Oryzias latipes: one gene and its partner. The protein of the gene in region 2 binds, or shares a complex with, the protein of the main gene of each other region. Links are inferred from orthologs where the notes say so. Each region holds a gene or a part of one and is shown on either strand. Other genes may lie near its edges.

The links.
Region 1: the proteins of ap2m1 (region 2) and p2rx4 are in contact, whole or in part, in a crystal structure (PDB 2BP5), measured with the Rattus norvegicus proteins. The link is inferred for Oryzias latipes from reciprocal best matches to the Homo sapiens genes AP2M1 and P2RX4. Residues at the interface, in NP_446289.1 of Rattus norvegicus: Phe174, Leu175, Asp176, Lys203, Asn217, Leu316, Ala317, Gln318, Lys319, Glu391, Val392, Pro393, Lys400, Val401, Arg402, Tyr403, Leu404, Ile419, Lys420, Trp421, Val422, Arg423, Tyr424, Ile425; in NP_113782.2 of Rattus norvegicus: Val375, Glu376, Asp377, Tyr378, Glu379, Gln380, Gly381, Leu382, Ser383, Gly384.

Annotation. Positions count from the first base shown.
Region 1 is NC_019867.2:25,318,201-25,327,295, reverse strand, and holds p2rx4 (P2X purinoceptor 4), read right to left. Parts: upstream 4,783-9,095; 5' UTR 4,752-4,782; coding exon 4,612-4,751; intron 4,523-4,611; coding exon 4,375-4,522; intron 4,296-4,374; coding exon 4,224-4,295; intron 2,567-4,223; coding exon 2,494-2,566; intron 2,409-2,493; coding exon 2,312-2,408; intron 2,231-2,311; coding exon 2,150-2,230; intron 2,065-2,149; coding exon 1,717-2,064; intron 1,631-1,716; coding exon 1,537-1,630; intron 1,458-1,536; coding exon 1,392-1,457; intron 1,311-1,391; coding exon 1,206-1,310; intron 1,079-1,205; coding exon 1,046-1,078; 3' UTR 98-1,045; downstream 1-97. UniProt on the Homo sapiens protein: ATP-gated nonselective transmembrane cation channel permeable to potassium, sodium and calcium. CTP, but not GTP or UTP, functions as a weak affinity agonist for P2RX4.
Region 2 is NC_019875.2:21,532,162-21,541,131, forward strand, and holds the start of ap2m1 (AP-2 complex subunit mu), read left to right. Parts: upstream 1-3,177; 5' UTR 3,178-3,392; intron 3,393-5,702; 5' UTR 5,703-5,750; coding exon 5,751-5,824; intron 5,825-8,363; coding exon 8,364-8,629; intron 8,630-8,833; coding exon 8,834-8,916; intron 8,917-8,970. Other genes in the region: dvl3 (segment polarity protein dishevelled homolog DVL-3), read left to right, coding at 1,489-1,850.

The DNA of each region.
Region 1 (9,095 bases), on a different chromosome or scaffold from region 2:
ACAATTTTTTTTAATTATTTTTAGAATAGTGCAGAATATGAGGAGTTAGGTAAACTTCAGCTACAAGACACAGAATGCGGGGAAACAATCGAGGAAATCACATAGTAGGATTTTAATGAAAGAATTGATAAATTAACTCCTACAAATAAGCAAGAATTCGGTTCCTCACAGACCTGTTACCACTCCTTTAAGAAGCTCTTCTGTCCAGAACTGGCCATCAGTATTTATGTATCTTCTTTGAACTGGTTATCTGTATAAAAGACACTTGTCCACACCCTTAAACAGTGAGACTGCAGTCTCTCCACTCTGACCAAAGAGCTGTCTAAAGACACCAGAGAAAGCTTGTAGACCCGAACCAGACAGACATGAAGCAGTCTACAATCAGCACGTAATGGGTCAACATGCAGAATTGGTGACTGCCAAATGAATATGTTTTTAGACCTGAACATGCTTGCAAACTACTAACTTAAATGTTGACCTGTTGATGTCTTTGTATTCACTGGAGCAACAATAGTAAAATGATCCTTGTTCCTTGATTTATAGTCTGATTAATTCAACGTAGCAGTTTCTTCCTGAGCCAGACAGAAACTGAAAGTGGTTGAGGTAATAAAATCTCACTTTGGATTCAAAAGGTCTCGTCTTGCAAAGGCGTAATCAAAAATGGAAATGGAAAAGGAACTGTCATTGTATCACTAAAATTGAGAAAAAAAATTCTTTATTTTATTGATTTCTTAAAGACCGAATGTTTGCTTTTAACACAGACTTCTATCAATGTTTCTTTAGTGAATCCCACATTGAAGGTAATGTACAGTAGGGTTAACCTTTCTGCCCAGAGCACATCCACTATCTAGGCTGATGAATAACTTTTGGGATTTACTGACAGTAAAACAACAACTTTTCTCAGGAGTTAACTGACACAGCAGCACAAAGGAGCTTTTGCTTTAAATTTACACACAGAAACCGCTTTAGTAAATGATCTGAATAGCATTTTTAGAGCACATCCCATTTTGGTGCACAAAGAAACTTTCGGTGCTGCTTGAGTGAATCATTGGGTGCCATAGGTGGTCCCCATTGAAACCTGCATAATAAAAATAGAAAACAGGCAGAACAAAAGACACGTTAAAGACTTGTGCATACAAATATGAACAAGAGCAAAACATGCAAGAGACGTCAGAGCATTGAGCCTCAGAGCAATGGTTACTTACAGGTTCACTGTCAGGACTTTCAACCAGATATGTTACTTTCTGTTTGGTGTAGAGATCCCTCTTTCTCATGCATGTTAACATAACCCAGTCTGCAACAATGGGCACCTGATGAAAATATTAGCAACAGTGAAATTCTGAGCGTCGCCGCTTTTGCTTTTAATGTAATACTTTTTTTTTTTTACATACCAAACTTAGAAATGATAAAGCTGCACCCAGATTCACTATCGCTGGAACAATTCCAAACTTCCCTGCCTGAAGGATCCAAAACCAGAATCATTGCAGAGTAAACGTTTCATTCTACAGAAGATTTTAGGATCTGTTTAGGCCTTACCGTGCCGAACACAATGACCTCGAAGCGGATTCCATATGCCTTGATTAACGTTCTTTCCTCCACCCCGTCTGCTCTTTTGTAGAACTTTGCAAATCTGAAAAATAACCAAATATATAAGCCTGATGATGCCATTTTCAGCGTTATCAACTTCTTAAAATGCTTTCATTAAAACAGACTCACCTGAAGTTGTAACCTGGGGCCACATCGTTACCCTGGTTTTGGTTGTCCAGCCGGTGGAAGCTGTATTTGGGAAGACACTTGCCGGCCCACCAGTCGAGGTCGCAGCTCCAGTCGATAAGAATTCCCAGGATGCCACCCTTTAAGCAAACAACGCAAGAACATGTTAGCAAAATCTGTGTGGTTTTCCATTGAGATTCCTTACTTACCTTCACTGCCATCTCTTGAAAGTCTGCTTCCGCCTCGGAAATGATGCGTTTGAGGCGGAATATGGGGCAATCAGGGTCGGTTAAACGGTTGAACTCACAGTGTGCCAGATACGAGGAGTTAACATGAGGCAGGATGTTTCTTCTGACGGAGGAAGAGGATAATCACATGATAGGAGACCTAAAACACCTGTGTCTGCGTGCAAACGACGTCGTAAGAGAACACGAACCCGTGAAAGTTGAACTTAGGGTATGTGATGCTGTTTTTTATCAGCACTGTGAAGTTCTCTGCCGCAGCCAGCAGTGCCTTTCTGTGGGACGAGAACTCATCACGTTAGGTCTCGTTTGTGCAATCCTTCCTGCAAAAACTGAAGCACTACAGCAGTTCTTACTTCGGCAGCCTTGTGTCCACTTCAAGTGGACACCATGAGAACACTTCACACGTCTTGACAGTGGTGGAAAAGTTCTCACACAGTCCCGTCCGGATGCCTGGGTTAAAAAAAAATCCAGTTTCATTATGCGGACCTAAAATTTACAGATGGTGTTTGAAGCCATTTCAGACAGGGAACCCTACCGTTTCTGCGGGGATCATTGTAACCTTCAATGCAATCGCAGTCGTCTTTGCATACAGTTGATGGGTTTGGAAGCTGGAGCAGTAATCACCACAGGTTAATTCAGTTACACAACAAAGCTCTGAGACACAAAAGGTTACAAAAATTAAACAAATCTAATGACCGCCTAATTTAACAACAGCCTGGATTGTTTTTTGTCAGATTTTCAGTGATTTTCGCCTCATAAAAAAAATCCAAATACTATGCCTTATTTCCTCCTCAACAGTCATTGAAGCTAAACAAGTAATAAAAAAGCTGAGTCAGTTCATTGGTTACCAGTTTTGCTTATCACAATAAATTGACACAGTGCAAAAACTGAATCTTAATTAATTAAAAAGACCTTTGTTTCAAGACAAAATGTCTTGTTTTCTGGTCTTGCAAAAAAAAAAATTGTATTAAGAAAGTTTTTCAATAGTAAAAATTATCTTAAACATTAGAGACTAGAATTTTCTTTTAAATAAGAATTTATAGTAAGAAATTTTTTCTTACTCCATTTGCAGATTTTCTTTAAATAGTTAATAAATGAATATATGAAAATATTTTGACCAATTTCGCCTGTTTTTGCTGTGTACCCTGGAGCCAACATACATCTATGTATTCACTTGCAAAATGAGTTTCTATGAACCAGTGCAGTTACCAAAGACTTCCACTAGAGGGCAAACCATAAGTCATAAGTCAATTTAAACTTCAAGGTTTAGGAAGGTTAGTCGGTAAACACTGTCTTGACTTGTTTGGTTAGTTGTAACATTGGAGGGGATTTCTTGTTTTCTGTAATTAGATTTGGTTCATTTGATTTTTGAAATCTGGTTATTTCAATCAGCAGACCTTTTTTAATTCCAAAAACTCACAAAACTCTAAAACTAATCAAGGAACCAAAAAAATAAGAGCATGTATAAGGAAACTACAGAATGAGAACACAGAAGGAGTTATAAAAATAACAAATATTTAATACTTGGGGTATACACTGGGAAAATTGCCCTTCTCAAAACAAGTTCAAACATATAGAACAAAGATGTTTTTCTCTTGTTACAAGTAAAAAAACTTCTTAAATTGTGATGTCCTTCCCTTTCAAGATGAGACTGAATCTTGAAATTGTCAATAAACACTCACATTTAGGAATATTGATATGATAATTGAAAAGATTTCTTAAAATAAATGTAATGTTAAAAAACGTTTTCAATCTTTAAAATAGACATATTCAAACACTCCCCCCAAATATATTCTATTTTATCTTAAATTCCTAGAATTACACTATTTAACATAAATTTGTCTGAAAATTTTTACGAGTTAAATTAAACTTTCCTGTTTCCATAAATCACAAACTTATTCTTAAAATATTATAGTAATAATTTGGTTTTATCCAAGATTTTGCTTCAAATAAGATGTTTTCAAGATGAAAAAACACCTCAAAAAGATTTTCAAGATTTATTAACTTAAGTAGTTAACAAAGTTTTGTCTTTTATCAAGTGTAAACAAGATATTTAAACTAGAAACTAGACAAAAAGACTTGGTGAGACTCAGCAGTGTCCTGCAGGTTTTCCTTGTGTATTTTGGACTAAACCATTTTCCTTCTTACCTCATGGAATTAAACCCTTTACAAATGAGTTAAGAGAAAAACTTTGACATTCATTCACCCTAACCCTCCCCCCCCCCCATCTTTATTACATCAAGTTATGGCGGGCCTGTGGCTCACCTCGGGACAGTGGGACTGAGTTTGTTCAGGGGTCACAACCAAGTTGGTCAAGATGAAAAACGAGCTATCACCCTGTCAGAAAAAGAAGCAAAGCAGTTCATGACAACGTCTGTGTGTTCCTTAATAGGAATAGGATTAAATGCTGGAATACCTGAGGCGGGATTACATAATCTGCAACGTCCCACATGCGTGGGTCCATATCAGATGTGTTGGTGTAGGCAAAGCCCTTTACTTTGGTGGTGACGGTGCTGATGACAGAGTCCGTCTCCTGGTATCCCTTCTGCACCACACACACATACCTGCCGCAGGTATAGTCGTTTCATGCCTGAACCGTCATCAAGGACCACATCAGCCCCCCTCCACCCAGGAATTCATGTTCAGGACTTACCCCACCACATACAGCACCACCAGGAGCTGAGTGAACCTGAAGACGATTCCCACACCAAAGTGAGGAATAACAAGAGTTTTGGCGGTTTCGTAGTCGAAGACATGGTGCAGAAAGCCCCGGCAGCCTGCAGCTTTGCTCATCTTTGCACCATGTACTGTGACGGACTGAGCAATGATGATGAACGGACATAGTTAGTCAAATCATTGTATTCAAATCAGGCTTGGCACAGACACAATATTCCAATGTGTGTGGTTTTCTTTTTAATGTTGTAGCAAGCCCCCGTGGTGCAGACTTGCTACCTTTCCCCTGGTGTCAGTTTACTCAGCTGATGAAACTTGCTGACATCAGTGCTGGACGTGTTTTCTCCCCGTTAATGACAGCGGGAGAGTCCCAGCAGCAGCAAACTTGACTTCAAACATCTGACTGCACATTTCCATGCCACAGTCAGATAATGAAGAGACAGCTTGTCCAGCTGCTTTGCGCACACATCAAAGGCTGCAAACATCTTTGTCTTGCACCACACGGATTACAAATTCATTTTATTTCCATTCCATGAACACAGGACTTCATTTGGTCCAAATGGATCTCTGATATAAAGTCTATAAAAACAAAGCAATGTTTGCATCACACATCAACATTTGTGTCCACACTTTTCGTTATGCATGAAGCTCATATCGTCATATCTACATAGGTAAAACAGACAGCCGAACAACATTAAATGGAATAATGTTTGTCTGCATTTGTTCTCCTAACATAAAGACATGCTGGTTTATAGATTCAACTACTTTCTAACACTTTTTTTTGTGTTTCAATGTTGAATGTTCAAGTATGACATGAAGGCATTGGACAAAAATAAAATAAACAGTCCACAGTAATGGAGCTACAGTGTGAGGCAGAGCTGGATAGCCTTCTTCCGCCCCTCATCTCCATCCTTTCATTTAGTTCACGGGTCTCAGGCTCTAGGCCTTGACGGCCGGCATCCTGCTGGTTTTTTATAAAAGTCCTGCCTCATCTGCTGCTGATTACCTGGGTCAGGTGTGTTTAGCCAATAAGGGGCTTCAGTGTTTGGTTTGTTGGAAATCAAATAGGCCCCCCTACTTCATGCCTGGAGTTTGAGACCTGTGATTTAGTCATCGTAAAGCTGACAGCGGCTTTACTGATCTGGCCCTCTTTCGAAAGTGCTGTACATTTATAAAAAGGATATCCTATTTCAAACTAAAAAGGGGGGCGGGAGCTTCATACTTGGGAGAAATCAAACTCCAGCCCCCCCTCGTGCAGGTTGCCTCTGTTGCGTTGTCGAAGCTGTTCTTGCCGTGGATCTGTTTGAGGTGCTTGCGCAGCACCGGCTTGTGGGCGAACACCATCTCGCAGTAGTTGCAGCGGTGCGGTTTGTCCCCGCTGTGCAGGTTCAGGTGATCCAGCAGCGAGCACTTCTGCGTGAAGGTCTTGCCGCAGATTTTGCACTGGAAGGGCTTGATGCCGGCGTGCACCCGCATGTGTCGGTGCAGGTTGCCTTTCTGCGTGAAGGTCTTCCCACACAGGAGGCACATGAAGAGCTTGTGCATTTTGAGGTGGTTGGCGTAGTTCTCCAGTTGCCGGAAGACCCGGGCACACTTGGGGCACTGGTGGTACCACTGCAGCGGCTTGTCATAGTTCCTCTGGTGGCCGCTGTGTTTCTCTGCGGGTGGGGACTGGGGAGGGGGGCTGAGCGGGTACCTGGGCATGCCGGGTGGAGCCGCCATCTCACTGCAGCGACTGTCCACCGTGGAGTTGATGAGGGAGTGTTGGGGCTCAGGGGACTGCAGAGCTGTGGGAGGCGTGGCAGAGAAGTTCCCCGTGATGGAGGTTTCTGCCGCGTTTGACACAGACTCCACCTTCACTATGGTGATGTCATTTTCCACCATACTCTGCCTGGAATGCCTGGTCAAACTCTGGACAGGGCTTTTGGGTTGGATTATAACGTCATCATCACTGTCATCATTAGTGTCTTCCTCAACCTGGCCTACCACCATCTCTTCCTCCTCTTCGTCTTCCTCCTCCTCCTCCTCCACCACCTCCTCCTCCTCCTTCTGCAGGACAGTCTGCACCTGAGACTGCTCTCTGTGTGCCGGCGAGGGTAAACCCTCCTGCCTCTTCTTCTCCCTCTTCCTGTCCACATCCACCCTGAGCTGGTGTGAAGCCTCAGGCTTGATGAACTTGCTCAGAGCTTGGGTGCACTGCTCCACAATGTGGCCCATTTGAAGGAAGCTTGCCACTGTCAGGTAGTGCACCAATTCCAGCTCAGGAAACTCCAGCTGGCCTGTGTAGCACGACAGCAGGAGCTGCCGACCGACTTCCGCCTCCTGGATCATAGAGATCTGGACCTCTTTAGAGTCTTGCTGAAGGATGAACTGGTCCCTCAGGAACGAAGAGCCTGCAGCAAACACCACCTTGTGACCTGGAACCTCCAGCTGGTTGATGCGCACAGTCACATCGCAGAAACGTCTCTGGTGTCGCAGGAGGTTCATCTTCTGCAGCATGGAGTCCCCAAACGTGGCGAAGTGGAACTGCAGGATCACTTGGTTTTGAGCCATAGTGACCCACAAAATAGCAACAGGAGCGCCGCACCTAACCAGAGGAAAACCAGACACCGCATCACTTATTTTAAACACGCTGTCAATCATGCAAACCATTATGCAAAGCATGCAAAACAAGATTTTGTTTTCTTTACGGTTTGTTTTCACTGCATGTCAGAAAGGTTTTCCTCTGAGATCATGCACGAGTGGTTTCCAAATTAGAATGGAGCTTTGGTTTTTATACAAAAATATGAGAGAAACGCACATTTATCCAGAATTGATTTCATTTCTGCACTCCTTTTTTTTCTTTTGGGAAAGCAGGTGTAGCAGAGGATTTTCCTCCTAAAAAGACAAGAGGTCTGTCATTTTCATCTTCGATACACTTAAACTAAGAATGAAAGAATGGGAGATAAGAATCCAGGAAATCAAACTTTAGGATTTTTAATGAAATAGTTGGTAAATGTCTCAGTAAAATAAGTCACCTTCAGACAAGCCAGAATTCTGCTCCTCACAGACCTGTTAGCTCTTCTATCCCCTACTCATTTCCTGTATTAATGACACCTGTTTGAACTGGTTATCAGTATAAAAAGGCACATGTCCACACACTTAGACAGTCGCACTCCAAGCTTCACTATGGCCAAGGCCAAAGACCTGGAACAGACCCGCACCAGAATAAAAAAAAAAAATAACTGAGTCTGCAACTGGTGAGCAGCAGTTAATTTTATTCTTTGTTTTACCTCGTGATGGCAAACTCTAGTCTACGCCTCGTGAAACACTGACCAACTTCAACACAACTGGGCTGAGATCGACACTCTGCTCGGATCTTTTCAGTTAAAAATAGCGACATCTGCTGGTTGTCTATTATTACTACATCCGAGCACACATTCAATCAAACCCCTTGTGACTTCAAGAAGATTTTAAAGCTCAGTTGATGTTTGTCTTTTTATGAAATGTTTGATCAAAGGTGTGTAGTTGTCATTTATCTGAATAACGGTTTGATGTGTGAAATATGTTGCATAGTAGTATTGGCTTTGGACCCACAACAACTATGTTCATCATCATCTCCACTAGTGATTTGTTGGTCGCAAATGAAACGGGGGCGAGGGATGTTCAGATATTCTGAGTGAAGTGATCAAGTGTGGGAGCAATTTTTGGAAAATGTAATTTATACAAGACCACTAAATATTTCCGTCAGTCTGGTGGTTCATGAAAAATCTCAAACCGTGGGTCAAAATGGTCACAACAACGGTGAACAACAATCCCAGAAGCACATAGGGGGACCTAATGAATGACCTCCAGAGAGCTGGGACCAAAGTAACAAAGGCTACCATCAGTAACACACTACGCCCCCAGGGCCTCAAATACCGTAGTGTCAGATGTGTCCTGCTAAAGCCAGTGCATGTCCAGGCCCGTCTGACGTTTGCTAGAGACCATTTGGATGATCCAGAAAAGGATTGGGAAAGCGCTATGTGGTTATAAGTTTTTGGTCAAAACTCAACTTGTGTATGCAGGAGAAGAAATGCTTAGATCAGGGTTCACCAACCTTTTTGAGACCGAGGGCTATTTCATGGGCACCAAGTGGTATGAAGGGCGCCACTAAAAACCTCCTACCCCCCCCCCAAAAAAACAACAAAAAAACAACACAATTTGAGGACTTCCTTTTGTGTGCCCTATTTTTATTTGCTCATTTTACACACAAAAACATGCATGAATTTTCTAGACTCGTATTACAGGGGGGGGTCAAACTCAGTTGCAGAGGGAGCCTAATTTCAAAACAGACTTTAGGTTGCAGCCGAACAAGATAAATATTTATTGAACACACTAAAGCTAAACTTTTAAACCTTTAGAACTTTAACTTAATTTTAACTTTTTAAACATAAATGTAAATAAAAACAGACAGGAATATTAATCCTCACATTAATGGATTAC
Region 2 (8,970 bases):
TTATTACTCAATGGGTTAAGGGGTAAGTCCACTGGAACAAACGTGAACTGGCTCTGCCACATACAAGTCAAGGATTCATTGTAACACTGGGAGATGAAAAAAAAAAAAAAAAGGGCTATAAAAAGCAAAACCACATCTGGAATACAGTTTGAAGTCTCTGCTTTAGGGCCGGTTGAAATGGACAGTCAACATCTTGAAACAGGCAAAAATGCCTTTTACAATTGATCATGTGATTTGGACGCTCTGTCCATTCCTAAGAGTTGATCATAAATTCTACCAGATGATTTTTTTAAACATATTTTTATCTTATTGCATTAGTGGAGAGTATCAAACACCCCTGCTAGACTTCATTTACTTTAAAATGCTGCTGTTCATGGCAGTAAGCACCCAATAGATTCAAAAGTAACACTCAGCAGAATCTATTCAAACACATAACTGCAATAAAACATGTTTACCAGTCTCCGTTGCATTAAACCTAATTTCTAGTTTTAGTTTAGAATAACATACAAATATAAATTGTAATCCACACACCAAAAGTTTTTTTCTGTGTTCAGTGTTTTATATTGATTTCTTAAAAGACCATCAGTTTAGCTGCAAATATGTTGATTAACATTTTATAACATGATTTGAAAAAAATTAATTAAAGTTTACATTTAGATGTTTTCTTTTAGTGCCAATCTAGTTTAGTTAAAGATATATGGTTTACCATTTTTGCACCAATTTTCTATGATTATTTTTGCTTGAAATTCTTTCTTTTGGATTTTAATGTCATGATGGGTCTACTAAAGACATTTTATTAGACAAGTCATTCTTTTGGTTAAACATGCCCAACATACTGACTAATATTTCGTCATCCCATAAAATCACGTTGAATTCTTATAGAGCGTTCAGTCTCAGTTTTCACAAGGTATATTGTATGAAAACGGGGCATCAAATGCTGCTGCACTATGTTTTACATACGATACGTTGCACGGCCAAATAATTTCATATTTGCATGCCTTGTGTGCAGTGAGCTTATTGCTTCCATCCAACACAGCTGTTCTTTGAAAGCCCCTCCATTTATTAGTTTGGAAATTTAAACCTTTTTTTTGAAAAGAGCACTGCAAAATAAATCTGAAATATTCTGTTTAGAGTTAACATGCTCTTTACAAATAACATGGCTGTGATATTATCTGCGGGAAAAATGTAATAGAACAGGCAGATGGCATCTCGTCAAACGGATTTGGTTTGTAAACCTAGAAAATATGGAAAAATCTCAATCTGTATTAAATGTATGAACACCTGTAGATATTTGTGTGCTGTTTTGAGTCTGGAAGTTAATGAATTCTCTTAGCTCGTGATTGTACTGGTCTATAATAAATGCACTAGAAAAATTAGATCATGTCTGTGGCATACCCATGAAAAATAGTTTACTGTCATTAAAAAATGGTAAGATTTTTGGCTACTGCATTCAAACTGCAATGATTGTTTCCTATGCTTTATCAACAGGAAGCAGTGGCTCCAACTGCAGCAAGAATGAAGGTAGAAAATCTGGCGGCAGCGGCGGCAGTGAATCGGAGGTCCGAAGCCACAGAGCTCCCAGTGAGCGCTCGGTGGCTCCCCCTAGTGAGAGGAGCATCCGCAGCTCTCTCAGCCAGCGCAGTGCCAACTCCCATTTGCTGTCATATGGGCCCGGTCTCGTCTATGGCCCCCCTGGTTTACCGCCTCAGCCTGCACATCTGTCTACAGCTGCCCCCGGCGCCCCACAAGGCAGAGAGCTGGCCTCTGTGCCCCCCGAGCTCACCGCCTCGCGCCAGTCTCTGCGTATGGCAGTGGGAAATGCTGGAGAGTTCTTTGTCGATGTGATGTGACTGTAGCCTTCTGTTGGAGAAGAAAGTATTAGATTGGACTTTATCAAATAACAAGGCTGAGAAGGACAGCGTGACATTGTGGGAGTGGGAGATTAACAAGTTGGAAACTATGGCCTTGATTTCACTTTCCTTTATAGCAGTCCATTTTTTGCATGCCAAAAGAAAAACCTTCACCTCATTTGTGCTTCTGTTCTTAGTCATTTAGTTATAAGCGTCATACTTTCTTCAGTGAAGAAACAAAGCCTGGAACCAAAGCGCCTTTCACAGCCTCTGCTCCATGCGGGGAGACGTTTTGTGCAAGGACAACAAACAAGAGAACGGAGGGAGGCTTGGAAACGATCTGCTGGGGAAGAGGATGAAGTGCTTTAGCTTCCAGATGTTTTCTAATGTGTTCTGCTGTTTTCTATTTCTTCCAACCTCTCATCTGCCTTCCTGATCTGACACTACATGTCCTCATAGTGTACATCAGAAATGAGAAAAAGAGCCTTTTTCCTCCCTCTCTTGTTTGTGCACCTAAATTCTGACCTCAACCGAAGAAACTGAGCAGAAGTTTAAAAGAACTCAACCTGAGTCAGATCTTTGAATTGTTTAACACAAATGGAAAAAAAGTAGTGCAGGAGAATTTTTTTTTTTGCAGTAATGATGCATTTGTGTTATAATATTCATCATTTTCTAACCCTTAACCTCAGCGTTTAGCTCTATAGTCATTTTTACACAACACCTCAGCTGCTTTACCAGAAAATCATCAACCTGTTTTGTATAGTAGAAAATGTTTCTTATCAGACTTTTCACACTACTCTTTTACTGAGAAAGAAATGTCTTTTTTATTTATAAAGATAGTTTTATGATATATCTGTGTGTTTGTGTGGTGTTTTTGTGCGCACTAAAGAAACTGGTCAGATAAATTCCGTCATTCTGAGATATTTAAGGTCATGATTGCATTTCAAAGCAGTGAATTTAAGACTTCAGGTGAATAAACAAATGATATAATGAAGGTTGAACAAAAGCAGATTTAAAAACATTACACAGAAAAGTACGAATATATTATGAGTGAAAAACTTTTAACTTTTATAATCAACTATATAAATTTATATATTGCTCATTATTTGAGATCAATTTGTTTATAAATTGCAGGCGATTATTGACCAACAATTGTTTTTGACTTAAAATGGTCGAAATCAAAGTAAAAAAATATCTTTGGGTCTTTTTGGTGCGATTGATTGGGAACATTCCTCAAGGCTTGGCCTATCGCTTTATTTTATAAACTAGTTTGAAAATACACATTTCTAACTACATTGGATGAACAGCTCGTGTAGTTTCTCAACTGCTAGGCAGGCCTGGGCGCGGTTAACACCCAGCCATCGTACTGGCCGCGCCTTTTCTTCCTGTCAGCGGAACAGGCGTGCGTAAGGACGGCGAGTCAGCTGACAGTTATCGGGGGACCGGGGCAGCGGGTGTGTGAGCAGAGATTCTGCTCTGCAGACGTTATATTTAAGACCAGGCGGGAAGGGAAAAACTCCTGGTGTTGGTGAGAGGACCAAGGTAAGTTGACAAATTTGTCGTTGTATCCGGAACGAAACGATTAGCTAGAACCCAGTGACTCGCGAAAAGCAGGTCAGCGCTTTCCCCTCTATGCTAACGTTAGCAGCTATTTGCCTAGCTAACGTCAAGCTAGCAGGAGTTAGCCACACGATAACAGAAATGAAGTAATTTCCATTTTGTGGAAACGCTGAAACTGCCGCGTGTGCATGAGATGTTTAAAACACATTTGTCGAACGAGCGACATTGATTGTTTTAACAAACACGTAACCGTTTTGTGTAGAAAACCTGTCAAGTCGCAGAATTGTAGTACTTGTGACCGGATATTCCGTTTGAAAATTCGCCATGCACGACGGTATTTCACTGGAAGCCATCGCCTGCTAACCCGCTATCGCTAGCTAAATTAGCTTAAATTAGCAGTCTGCTTTTACCGAAGAACAAACACTCGGCTGTGTTGCGTCCACGTAACTGTTTAAACAAAACGTTACTGGTAAACTTGGCCCTTGCTTTTCTACAAACATTTGAAATGTATGACTGTATGAAAATGGCCCCAGTGAGTGAGCAGACATCTTGACTTCGCCAGAAAAAAGAGGCGATTAAATCTCTTCAGGTTTTGTGCGGATGGTTAAGTCACGACTTAGCGGTGTTTAAGCGGAAAACATGCTGCTAATCCTGCAGCTAACGTGTCAAGTCTCCCATAGTGTCGGTTTTTCGATGTTTGGATTTTCTGCTCGAGGAATTTGAAATGTCCTTCATGGTTTCCAGAAGGTTCATTCTTATCATCAAGGAGAGAAAAAAGGAGGGACAGAGAGAAATTCCTGTCTCCAGCAGCCCTTAAGTTACTTTTTGTATTTTTTTAAACCTTAAACTGCTACTTCTGTTTTTTTTTTTTTTTTTTTTTTTTTTTTTTATCTAAATTAAATTGATGAGCATTTGTATTCGGCTAAGTGACACATCAAAGACCCACTCCAATTAAAATTGTGTTTTTAACATGTTCTTGACTTGTGGCACTTTTCTGATTATAGAGGACGTACATTAAGAAAATTGAGCTTAAAATTGTGTTTGAGTATTTCTATATTCAAATTGCTGTGAATCAGGAGCAGACGAAAAAACTCCATTGGAAAATGCTCATAGCAGGGAAGTAGGTGCTGCAATCATTGGGCCACAAGCTCTGTACTCCGCTACATTTTGATGCATCCACTTGCAGACTAATAGATCCATCCATGCATGTCTGCATTTTCCTCGCCTGAACTGATATCTGGCTCAACACTGGACAGCTGGACAGCTCCAAAAGTGCTCGCCGTTTTTATTGCTCCAATAATTGGGTTGGAGGTGTGAATAGCTGTAAGCTAGCGGGAGGGCATTAAAACAGATGGATAGAGGCAACTTGGAAACAAACTACCCATAACAGCTCCTAATCTTCTTCTTCTATCTAATATGTCACTGGAGGAAAAGAACTGCCGTTTCATTAGTATGGAGATCCATTGCCTCATCAAGTCAGCGTGTTGGATATGTGTGTGCATCTTTTTGCTTCCTTCGAGTCCGAATGGAAGAAGTGCAGCTGCAGGAATTAGTCAGCTGGCAAAAGGGAAACGAGGATGAGAGAGAAAAGAGGATGTGAGGGACAAATGTGTCTCTGTGTCACCAGCGGTGACTCCCTCACTTTCACTTCTCCTGGCTAATTTTTAATCCTCCATGTCAGTAGTTTTCAGGTAGATACTCAATATGACTATGGATGGAGGCTTAAAACCAACTTTATATTCAAAAAGGATGCATTTTTCTTGTAAAATTACAACTTTGCTCTCATAATTTTACGACTTTGTTCTTGTAAATGTTGATTTTTTTTTTTTGTTGTACTTAATTTTTATTTACTTGTATGGGGCCTTAATATTTTGTTGTAGATATGTACCCCAAAAAGGTACTAGATTTAAATACATGTTTGTATTTTTCAATCATGCATATGAAGATCCCAGCAAAAATGATCACAACAAAAAATGAGATCTTTAACACAAGGTGAATATGTATAAGAAGTAAAACACATTGTGTGGTATTATTCTTTACTACACCAACAATTTTTTCTTCCTTTTTTGATACACAAATCACATTTCTTCATTTAATTTTTATTTTGTATAAATTTAGTGCTTTGTAAAAAAAACTATATTTATAAACTCTGTTTTAAAGATTTTATTGATTCATTGAAGATTTTCCATAAATAAAATATATTCTGAGAGTTACACCTTTGTGAGGGGGGGGGGGGGGGGGGGAAGCTTGGGGACCACTGCCTTCATGTCGTTCCTTTCTGTTTTTTGCCAGGTGGTGTTTGGTTTCATCATGGCAAGGTGTGTTTGAGAGGCAGCCACAATGATTGGAGGACTGTTTATCTACAACCACAAGGGGGAGGTCCTGATCTCCCGTGTCTACCGAGATGACATAGGGTATGTTTGACACGAACTAACCTTCTGTAAGTCTCCTCAAGTTGTGGAAGACTTCAGTTCAATGGAACTATCTGGATCCTGCGTTGGAGGGCTAGCTGGAGTTGATCTCCTCGATGAGAGGATTATGTCACCACATCCAGCTAAAATCATGTCTGCTTGTGCAAGGAAGCTGAGTTAGACGTAAGCCTGGATTAAATCATCCGCTCATATAACATTGTTTAAGGGATTAGATGCTATTTATTTAACAATCTGAAGGCCTATGCAAATTGAATAAATGATTAGAGTTACAGATGCTCAGGCGCATTATCAAACCACACTCTCTGCTTTAGCTAGAGCTGTTCATCAAGAGTTGACTTTTGTTTTCAGTTCTAGAGGCAGGAAGAATTACAGAGAACCTAAATTGGATGGTTAAAAAATACTTGGATGACCCATAGCTAGTTTCTTATGTACAAAAAGTATTATTTATGGTCTTTTAAGTGTTGTTCTTTCAGATTTAAAACAATCAGCAGATTGTGCATGTCCATTGACTAAACCAGTGGTTGAGTTTTAGATGCAAGGCCTCATTCATGGCTAGGAAACTTGTTTCAATCAAAATGTCATAGTACTGTGAACCAGAACTTGCAGACTTGTTGACTTGGGGGTTTATGTTGTCTTAGCGGACTGTTCAGTCGACATACAGAAGAAGAATGGGCAAAAAGTTGCACAGCAGATTTACCATATGGGTCAATTTAAAGGCAAAATCAGAATTCAAAATTTTTTTTGTGCATTGGTATAGTTCTGAGGGAGGATGGCAAAAGCAAAGTGTGCATGCCTAATGCAGGTGTTCAGTAGGATTTCTTGCATCTGCACATGCGGCTCTTCAAATACATTTTCCAAACATAATAGAACACTTAAGAAAAGCGTACACTTCTTTCCACTTTTCTTCTCTTTGCCACAATTAGTTGTTTTTGCTTCATTTTCAGCCATTGTTGCATTCTTGATCATCCTCAGCAGCTTCTGTCTTCTCATACAGACACAATGCGTTTTGCTGAATAAAGCGGGAAAAGACGGAAACAAAAGAAACCCTGATGTAGCAGTTCTTGACTTTGCATAATCCGCTGGAAAACTAAAACGCTATGAACTTGAGGCATGTTTGCAGTAATGTTGATTGCCATTACCTTAGCCCACACACTGTACTAAAGGGGAATTCAATCTGTTGAGGTGTTGCACTGTAAACCCCAAGGATAAAGTGTAGTAAAATAATGCTAACCTTGTCCCCTAATGATTTACCTAGCCCCCCACTTCCCTAAAAAAACCCTCACCTTACTCATTCTGTCTACACAATGCACGAAAATGTCTCCTGTACATTTTTGTCTTCATCCTTCTCTCCTCTCTATTTTCTGTATCACCATTATCCTCCATCTGTCCATCACGGTCCTTGTAGGAATAGGTAAGAGCTACTGCAGCCTCTACAGCATGAACCCCACCTTTTAAAGGCTACAACTCGAGGATCTCATGAACCCCAAAGTGCATGCACATCTGTCCAACCATCAGGATTCCTGCTGATTCTTCTAAGCATGTCACCTGTCATGTTATCATCTAAAAAAAGAGAGATTTAAGGAATTCATACATAACCAGAACTGCCACTTCTAGCATGTCATTTGAGCATGGAAATTTTCCAGGCAAGTCATCTGAATTGTCATTTATTCATTTAATTTCTGTTTTTTAATTCAAAAGTAATGAGAGAGTTTGGATTAAATCACCCGGTTAAAGCTAGACCTTGGATTTAACTACAGCTGGACATAAATTTGCTGCCAGTTTGTGTTTTTTGTTCATTTGTGGTTAATAAAAACACCTCACACCCCAACCAGGTAAGGCAGCATCCTGAACTAACATGCCTCACACTCACTCCAACACGTCCACTTGTTTCCATGGAGTCTTCATGGACAGTTTTTTCAGCGTGTTAACATCTGTGAACCAACCCGGCCTGTTTCACACCGCAGTGTTTATAGGAACCGTGGTGCAACAACCATTAAGGGATCATACAGATCCTCTACATCATTTGTGATAATTGTATGTTTCTGGTTTTGGTAATGTCTGTTGTGAGTTGATGTGCACTCCAGAATATTCCCAGCAATTAGCAGTGTGGTTTGGTACTTTTGTCAGGACAAGCTCCATCCTGTCCACTGTATCCGTTTAAATTGAGGGCTGTTGAGCATTGTAGAGCGTTTTACCACAAAAGAACTAGATAAAAATCCTACTTGGATAATTATTGGTTTGAAACATTTTTTTTGTTTCCACAAAGTCCAGTTAATGTTTTTGCTGTGCTGTGAGTTTTTATTTGTTGGTTTGATCACAGTTTAGACATTAAAACGAAGTGTCTACCTCCTCATTCTCCCTCTGCATTTTATTCCTATTAAATATGTCCATGCTTTAGAGAATTTTTCTTTTTTTGCAAAAAATATTTTCACGTCAAACGATCCATTCTCATTTGTCACAAAACCTTAATCCGTTGACTCCATTCCTAAACTTTCTTTCTGCTCCTCTTCTTCTGTGGCAGACGTAACGCCGTGGACGCGTTCCGCGTGAACGTGATTCACGCCCGGCAGCAAGTGCGATCCCCAGTGACCAACATCGCCCGCACCAGCTTCTTCCACGTCAAACGCTCCAACATCTGGCTGGCGGCCGTCACCAAGCAGAATGTCAACGCTGCCATGGTGTTCGAGTTCCTCTACAAAATGTGTGACGTCATGACGGCCTACTTTGGCAAGATCAGCGAGGAGAACATCAAGAACAACTTTGTGCTCATCTATGAGCTGCTGGATGGTATGAAGTGACTGTTCAGTTTTAGACGGTTGTTGACACAAATACAAAAATCATGCTTTGACTGATCTCTGAGAGTTGGGACGTTAGCACCAATATTTTGCTTTGAAGTTTCTTTCTCGGAGCTGTTAGCTTTCATCATTTCATGATCTAGGGTTCTCTCTTGCCTATCTTATCTGTTGCTGATAGTTGTGTTTGTTTGTGCAGAGATTCTGGACTTTGGTTATCCCCAGAACTCTGAGACCGGGGCCCTAAAGACTTTCATCACCCAGCAGGGCATTAAGGGACAGGTACAACATCCACACTCTGACTGATCAAAAATAGGCTAAATGTATGCTGTCTAT